Zea mays: one gene and its partner. The protein of the gene in region 2 binds, or shares a complex with, the protein of the main gene of each other region. Links are inferred from orthologs where the notes say so. Each region holds a gene or a part of one and is shown on either strand. Other genes may lie near its edges.

Region 1 (4,458 bases), on a different chromosome or scaffold from region 2:
GGTATTTAGGTCTTCCTCTTTCCATTCATAAGTTAAACAGACATCATTTTCAGACTTTGGTTGAAAGGGTTGCTGATCGGCTGCCGCATTAGAAGGCGGATCTAATGACCAGATCAGGGAGAAGAACCCTTGTACAACATGTGCTTACAGGCATGTCTATTTATGTGGCAATGGCAGTTGACATCCCCCATTGGGCTTCGGAGACGATTGATAAAATAAGAAAAGGATTTCTCTGGAAGGGTAGAAAGGAAGTTAGAGGGGGGCACTGTTTGGTAGCATGGGGAAAGGTTTGCAGACCCCTTCATCTGGGAGGCCTGGGTATTTCTAGTCTCTAGGAACTCTGCTGGGCGCTCAGAATGAGGTGGTTGTGGCTGCAAAAAACTGAGCCTGGGCGCTCTTGGTTTGGTCTATCTATTCAAATTATGGCCAAGGCCCGGGCTTTCTTTTCCATGGTCCTGATTTTTGAAGTGGGAGACGGTGCAAACACCTTGTTCTGGACTGATAAGTGGCTGCATGGGGAAAGAATCTCTGAGTCGGCCCCTAGGCTTTTTGGCATAATTCCTAACAGTGCGTTTGGATGTTGGAATTTAGACTCGGAATTCAGAATTGGAATTGACAAACCCGAATTCTGGTGTTTGGATGGTCACAGTATTTGGAATTGGAAATCCACCAAATTCCAGCCGGTATTCAACTCTACACACGCCTCCACTCTCCAATTCCGACCCTCCACCCTCTGATTTGCTCGGAATTGAACTGGATTTGGTATTGGATCCGATTTCCAAAGCCAGGCTGATTTGGTATTGGATCCAATTCAATTCCACCATCTCCAATTCCAACATCCAAACGGAGCATAAGAGATTTGCTCAGAAACGAACTGTACAAGAAGCTTTATCCAATGGTCAATGGATTGCTGACATTAGGGGGGGGGGAGGCTCACTGTTGAAGCTTTATCAGGTTATCTTCGTCTCTGGGAGATGCTTTCTGGTTTTGAGTTGCAACCTGACAGGGAGGATAAGCATATTTTCAGCATTGCTTCAGATCGTAGATACTCTGCAGAGTCTGCCTATAAAGGTCTTTTTATGGGATCATGCTATTTCAGGCATTATAAGCGAGTGTGGAAAACATGGGCTCCACCAAAATATCGTTTTTTTCATTTGGCTTGTTACCCAGATCAGATGCTGGACAGCAGATAGACTCGCCAAGAGAGGATTAAATCACCCAAGCAAATGCCCTTTATGTGATCAGGATTCTGAAACTACAAATCATTTGCTTGTCACATGTGTTTTTGCAAGGGTTTTCTGGTATAAGGTGCTGAGAAAGTTTGGTATGTACTCCTTAGCTCCTCCTTTTTGGAATGGTGGGAAAATGCCTCAGAGACACTAAATGGGCTCTGCATGAAAGGTCTCAACTCCCTTATCATCTTGGGAGCTTGGTTGACCTGGCTTCATCGTAATAGGTGTTTTTTTTGACAATGGGTCTCCTAGCCTGCCTTTAATCCTCAAGCAGTTTGAAGATGAGAGGAGTTTGTGGGAGGTTGCTGGTGCCAAGGTATTATCCTCCCTGGCAGCCCCACTTCCTGCTACTTGAGGGAAGGAGGCTTCTTAGTCTTTAGTAGTGTCTGTGTTCCTATGGACCAGTTTATATATGCATGTTTCTGGCCTCAGTAAGGATTCCTTAGTTTACTTTTGTATTTTTGGTCTTCTTTTGACCATGTATCCTCTCTTCTTAATTTATAAAATGGTGCAGTCCTCCTGTGCATTCGAGAGAAAAAACTTAACTGTGGCAGAGCTTGTGACATTTGTGGTGTTCTGCCACAGGAACTAGATGTGGTCCATTAACATGTTCATATTGCATTGTTCACTAGAAAAAATAATGCTGCCATATTCATCTTTTAAAAGCAGCGTCCCATTCATCCTAGAAAGGTGCCTTCATTGGTGCAAGGGTGTTGGCCTTCAACTTTTCATGTGTTTTCTACTCAACATCTTCTACAACAATTGGCAGCTATATTGTTTTCATGGTGAAGTTGTGAGAACGATGTGTATATCTGGATGACTTCAGGGATGAGTCTCCTCTAACTTAAAGTGAGAGGGACTTAAATCGCTGACTTTAGAGGTATCATAGTAAGATATATTGCAATCTGCACAAGGTACTAACATTACTCAGTATCTGAATCATCCAACGCATTTCCAGTCTGAAATTAGCAATGCACTACGGCATGTGTTCATTGGTCCCCCAATCAAAAAAAAAAATACAGACTAAGAAACTATCTAAACCCACGGCAGAGCATTCCTAGTAGAAAGACTACACCGTCTCGCAGAATTTTATGAGCTGCAACAAGCACTACAAACCGCCCCTTCAATCATCCACTCGCGAGAAGAAGAGAACAGGTAGCAGAAACTTACCAATCCACAACCTGACGAATCTTGGGCTCGAAGTCCTCGGCCTGGCGATTGAGCACACAGAGAACACAAGCAAAGCGTCAGCCTCTCATGTGCACAGAGCATCACATGTTTGGCATCAAGAGAAAGAAAGCAGGACGGCGACTGACCTCCTGCGGGGAGAGCGAGATGCGCGCGGCGTTGGCTAAGCGGGTGAGGTCCGGCGGCTCCAGCTCCCCAGCCCCCGCAGCCGCCACGGGCGTTACGTGGCTGGAGGACGAGAGTGGCCGCGGCCAGTGCGTCCTAGCCGACGGCCGCCTCAGCCGCGGGCCCGACGCTAAGCGGAGCCTGGGTATGGCGGACGCAGCGGCGGAGAGCATGGCCGGCCGGCGTCGCTCGCTGGTCGCTGCTGCCTCCGGGTCTGGCTAAGATTGGAATTGGATCGTCGTCACCGATGCGGCCTCATCGGCTCATCCCATCTCATCGTTTCGCGCGGTGCGGCCCGGCCCACTCAAAGCGGCCACTGCCCAGAGCTGAGAACCCCCCCTCGTCGGTTTGGGCCTCTCCGGCACATTGAATTTACCAAAATAGATCACTCTACAATGAATTTGTAAAAATAGGTCAATCGAGTAGATCACTTCGTCAAAATACACATCCGGATGTTTAACTAGTCTGATAAGTGGGCATGTATCCCTGTTGGACCGAAATATCTCTCCCTTTCCTTAGGGTATCTGCACTGGCCTACAGAAATCCTTCCGGTAAACGCGCATACAGGTAACTGGAGCTTAAAAATATGTGCAACGGTTTCCGCTATAGCTCTCTATATCCTTATGCATCCACAATATTGCGTCAGATATAGCGGACACCAATAATTACGATAGAAGTCTTATCCATATCTAGAGATGGCAATGGGTACCCGCGACCTGATACCCGATAGGTATTTACTCCATTAGGGTATATATATAGACTAAATATTATACTCGTGGGTTTATTATTGGGCAAAAATCTCCACCCAATGGGTAAACGAATATTAGAACGTTCCGTCTTCACCCATACCCGTTAACCCGTGGGTATAAATACCCAATATAAACTTAGCCCAAGCATGAACTTGTACTTTAGTCATTCATCTTTTTTACTATTTAACAACCTTTTAGACCATAATGTCATAGAAGACTTAATGACAATTTAATGACCATGTAATGGAACATGTAATGTGCTATGTAGTACTATCCTAGTGTTACTACTTTATCCAATTATCTTTGGTGTGTTGAATGGATGGTTAAATGATGCTAGAAAATTTTGTTATGGTATTTATATGGATATACTTGACATTTGTATAGTATAATATTTTGATAGATGTTTAATTTTTGTGGGTACGGGTGACCCGATGGGTGACCCATACCCACATGGGTATGGGTATGGGGGTAAATTCATACCCACCAGTGTATGTGGGTGACCTAGTGGGGTTATTTTTGTGTCGTGGGTATGGGTATGGGGTAGTAATACCCGGTGGGTATTTACCCATTGCCATCTCTATCCATATCAAAAGTACGTGTTGTGCACAAAAAATATAGAATTTCGATCATAATAAATAGAATATGTAATAATTGATATAGAGGGGATATAGAGAGAGATATGGGCGCAGAAGATTGTAATATATAGTAATGAATTTTGATGGGAAATGTATCTGGTGCAAACCAACTCCTTCGTGCAACCGTGCAAACTTCTAATCTAAACCACATGATGTTGATCCAAGGGACGCAGAGGTGTGGATAATTTTACACTTAATCGTCCGCTGCTAATCACACCTTTTCAAATCCCCCTCCCACTCCTCCGCACGTCCCCTTGGATCAACATCATGTGGTTCAGATTAGAAGTTTGCACGGTTGCACGGAGGGTTGGTTTGCATTTTGATGACTAGACTATAAAGGGTAATATAGAGTAAGGATATGGAGTAATCTGCACTACAGATAGTCTTAGCTGTTAACGGTGCTGCACAAGACGACCACTGGTGGCAGTGGTCTCCCATTCCTACTGAGCTCGGGCACCGAGGGGTTCCGGCGCTGCCTGGTCGTGGTCG
Region 2 (4,428 bases):
GTTACTAACAAGTAACAAGACATGCCCAGTTGCCCACAGCTGGCAGATCAACATGGGTTAGTAACTTAGTATTGCCATTTCCACAACGCAAGTTTGCAAGCCTGGCCTGGCCTGGCCTCAATCCACACCGGTCAAAGCTGTCTTTAATTTTAAAAGCTTTCTTTAACAAGGAACAAGATAAAAAAAGGGACAGGCCCAGGTTGCTTCGAACCAGCGACCTAGTGACTCAATGAAACAACTCTCGCCACTGCACCAAGCCTGCCCTTTTAGTGAGAAACTGGATATGTTTTCTAAATTATAAATTTATATTCTTTGCAAATGGAGTGGAGCACTGGAGCATATAATTGTTGTTTTTTCATTGTAATAATAGCCAGGATTTTGTGCATATACAGTATCATAATAAAAATATTAAAAAGCAAAAGAAGTCAGTCAAAATCTATGTACAGCATGACTAATCCCTGAGCTGTGATGACATGGGACACGTGCATAGTTCTACACAATGTGACAGCTCCTAATCAGATTGGTCAATGTGCTAAGCTACATGACTACATCTAACGGGATCATGAATAAATATTGAAAAGACAACTTATGAGTATACTAGTGGAGTATGGACTTATATATGATATATTAGTAACTGAGAATATTGTACCTCATGACCAAAACCATTAGCCCGGGACTCTCCATAAAGCTCATTCAAGTCATCCGCCGAGACCTGTCCTCCATACCTGAAAACAGTACTCCACAGTATAAATCCTATGATACTTTGAATATACAGGGGTAAGGATAAGGATTAGCTACCGCAAGAATGCAAGATCACCTGATACCATCATAGCGTGATAGATTAGAAGAAGCTTCAGATGAGGCTAGTATGTAATATGCTGGTAAGCCAAGAGAAAATGAAGGCAGTGAAACCTGAAATACAATAGAAGACAAAAGTTCAGTTAAAATTTCTTTCATGAATCCCGTTAAAAGGACGTGTTTTTTAATATATATTTAGGATAGTGGAAAGTAACAAGCCTCTTCCACCACAGATCCCAACTGCTCCAGGTGTGAAGCAGCACCCTTGATTGATGATACGACTCCACTGGCAACACCTTCTCCAAGAGTTTCTTGTATAATCCCAATTCTCACACCATTTAATGGTTTCGATTCTAGTAAATCTAGGGAGACCAACTCCGATGCGTACTCTGGAACAACCTGGAAAGGTGACAGAAGAGATCAAGTAGCAATGAACCAAACATCAATGTTATGCCTTCCTGTATGCTCAAATCACTAATGGATCATGATCCAGTTGCAGAGTAGAATAGAAGGACAAAAACAAGTTAAGGGTTGTTAACAAACATACAGGACAGCTGCATAGTTTTAATGATATAAATGTATTAAATCAACGCTATATATAAGAATGGGAGTATGGGGCAGACTAGTATAATCCTCCTGACATCTGTTCTTAGTCATTTGTGAATGTTATGCTGTGATTTGTTTTCCAACCATAAGAAGACAACCCATGTGCTGCCTTTATTACTGATAAAAAAAATAGATAGAATAAAGTGCAAAAGTCATCCCAATCAAACCATATTAATACAATTACTAACAACCAAATCAAAACATGGCACGATCACATGGAAATGAAATCTGATGTCCAAGCGTACAACTAACCTGTGAAGCCCAACAAAACAAATAATACATGTGAGGTCATAGACATGTTTGCCAACAATAGAAATAAACATGTGGTTCAACTTGCAACTGTACCAGATAATGTTATAACCCAACCAGATAATAAACATATTACTGATTGAAATGGGAAACATCATACAAATGTACTTTTAAGGCTAAGCCTCTAGCCTCTGTTTCTTTACCTGTGAACTGCTGGTTGCGTCCATCTTGTCATGGCCAGCAACAACAGATAAGATGGTTGCAGTGTCAAAAACCGACGAACCAAAGCATCCCACAACATCCAGCGATGAAGCGTAGGCCATGAGACCAAAACGAGAAACCCGGCCATAAGTTGGCTTCAATCCCACTACACCGCAAAACGACGCTGGTTGTCTCACACTTCCACCTGTGTCACTACCTAGTGACACTACGCATTGCCTAGCAGATACTGCAGCAGCAGAACCACCAGAGGATCCCCCAGGCACACGTGAATCATCCCACGGGTTCGTTGTCACCTGCATATCACCAAACAATATGTGTCATAATCACACATCACCATGTGTCTACATTTTTAGCAGCGCAGTTCATCTCCGAGGGAAGTCCCCACATTTCAACATCAATACTGACATGCAACTAGCCGCCTATATTAAGATGGTACTCATTAACGATTCTGGAACTGTCCCTGGTCTGATCATGATCAGAGTCTTATCGGGCTAACATTAACGTCATATTTCAACATGAGTCAACACAATCGGCAACGCTCAAACTTCAGCAAACTCTGTTTAAACGACATGAGGATCTGGTTCTGGTCCGCCAACCTGAAACGCGGAGCCCTCGGTGGTGCTCCCCATTCCGAATTCGTCGAGGTTCGTCTTCCCCAACACAATAGCGCCGGCCTCCCGCAGCCGCCGCACGGCAGTGGCGTCGTACGCCGGCCGGTACCCGTCCAGTATCCGCGACCCGCCCGTGGAGGGCATGTTGGCTGTGCAAAGATTGTCCTTCACTCCCACCAGCACTCCAGCGAGCGGACCCACCGCATCCTTCTCCCCGGAGGCAATCCTCCGGTCGAGTTCCTCCGCCTCCCGCTCGGCGGCGGCGTCCGCGACGTGGATGAAGCTGCGCAAGGTCGGCTCGGTACGGCGGAGGCGGGAGAGGTACTCGGAGGTGATGTCCGCCGCGGTCCTCTCGCCTGAGAGGAGCGACTCGCGGATGGAGAGGATGGAGGATGTGGCGGGGCCCGGGGCCAAGGTTGTGGCGGGAGCGGATTGGACGGAAGAGGCGGCGGTGAACCGGCGGCGAGCTGGAGTGGGTAGGCGGCGGTGGGAGATGAGTAGGCGGTGGGCCTGTAGAGGCGGCGGCATGGCGGCGGCCGGCGGGAGGTTCTCCTGCCGTCGCCGGTGTGCGCGGGTTTTGGCCTTTTGGGGATGGCTGATGAGGAGTGGCCGAGTGGGAAGGGGAAGGTGAGGATTTGGGAGGATTGGGGTGGGAGAGTAAGAGACAGGTGGATTGGAGACACGTGGAACTAAAAATGCTGGGACGTCGTTGGATCATACCAGGAGTCTCGATCTACTGAATTGTTTGTAGACGTCTTTTTTTTTTTGGAAAGATCGACTCGAATCGTCTGGTCGTGACAAGGGCCCTGTTTGGGACAGCTGCTGCTTGTTGAAAAAGCAGCTTATCTGATAAGCTGGTAAAAAGCAGCTTCTGCTTGTTGGCTGCTTTTAGTTCATTTTGAGAAGCAGCTGAACTGATAAGCTGCTGCAGAAGCTGCCTGTTTGGCAGGACTTCAGCTTAAATTTGTGAAGAAGCTGAAAATAAGCTGTGCCAAACAGGGCCAAGGTCTGTATTCCACTGTATGTCTGTATGTAAGCAAAGTATACTCTGTTCCGTCCTTAACTCCTTATTGATGCTACTCTACATCTGAACTTAAAAAAATATTCTAGTCAACTCAGTAAGATTATTTTCTCTATATATATTTTTTTGCAACTACATTAGGCTTACTCCAACGGAGCAGCTATCCAGGCAGGCAAAGGTAAAATGACTGGCCGCTGAGCATTGTAGCTCAAAATTGAGCCTTCCAACAGAACAGCTATACACGCCAGCCAAAATACCAGGAGGAGAGAGAAAACGGCATTCTGCCTGCTCTTCGAGCGCCAGGCATTCTCTTCCCCTGTCTCTGACAAGTTGTCCCCTCAATCATTTGCCTTACTTCATTCTTTCTTTTTTCCTCTGCTGTTGGATGCACGTCGCGGATAGCTGGGCAGGCATTCGGGAGGGGCCAGCCAAAGAGCAAAATAGCTGCCAGATTTGGCTGGCACCTGTTGGAGTGAGTCTTACTCTATAAGTTTCCTCTGTATGGTGTTTGTTTGGTGAATAATCTAGTCTATCATCTTTTTATTACTCATTTTTTTGTTTGGTTGTAGAATAGAATGAGTTGATTTATCAACACCTCGTTCCTCATATTTAGTTAACATGCAGAATAGAGTCATCCCACCAAATTTGAGAATTCGAGAACATCGATTATACCGTCGAATTTGCTAGGGATTTGGTTTGCATGTACATGAATGTGTTGAATTCATTTCGGATTTGTCACCTAGGGTTCGCAGTGTAGTACTAGTGTTATTTGCAAGGCATAAATTCTTAGAGTATTCATCGATCTAGGGTCTTTCATTATTTCAAGTATTACCCTACGTTTCTACATCCGTATAGTTGGTATACTTTACACCTTGCAAACCCAAATAGGCCGACACAATTGCAACACCATTGTCCTTGAAT

What was found.
Region 1: glutamyl-tRNA(Gln) amidotransferase subunit A, chloroplastic/mitochondrial (region 2) and Glutamyl-tRNA(Gln) amidotransferase subunit C, chloroplastic/mitochondrial share a complex: the UniProt entries of both Arabidopsis thaliana proteins name them as parts of the heterotrimeric GatCAB amidotransferase (AdT) complex. The link is inferred for Zea mays from reciprocal best matches to the Arabidopsis thaliana genes AT3G25660 and AT4G32915.

The regions. Positions count from the first base shown.
Region 1 is NC_050100.1:16,521,879-16,526,336, forward strand, and holds the start of Glutamyl-tRNA(Gln) amidotransferase subunit C, chloroplastic/mitochondrial, read right to left. Parts: upstream 2,827-4,458; 5' UTR 2,759-2,826; coding exon 2,549-2,758; intron 2,444-2,548; coding exon 2,403-2,443; intron 1-2,402. UniProt on the Arabidopsis thaliana protein: Allows the formation of correctly charged Gln-tRNA(Gln) through the transamidation of misacylated Glu-tRNA(Gln) in chloroplasts and mitochondria. The reaction takes place in the presence of glutamine and ATP through an activated gamma-phospho-Glu-tRNA(Gln).
Region 2 is NC_050097.1:6,255,157-6,259,584, reverse strand, and holds the start of glutamyl-tRNA(Gln) amidotransferase subunit A, chloroplastic/mitochondrial, read right to left. Parts: upstream 3,073-4,428; 5' UTR 3,015-3,072; coding exon 2,472-3,014; intron 2,169-2,471; coding exon 1,857-2,168; intron 1,198-1,856; coding exon 1,018-1,197; intron 913-1,017; coding exon 818-912; intron 726-817; coding exon 650-725; intron 1-649. UniProt on the Arabidopsis thaliana protein: Allows the formation of correctly charged Gln-tRNA(Gln) through the transamidation of misacylated Glu-tRNA(Gln) in chloroplasts and mitochondria. The reaction takes place in the presence of glutamine and ATP through an activated gamma-phospho-Glu-tRNA(Gln).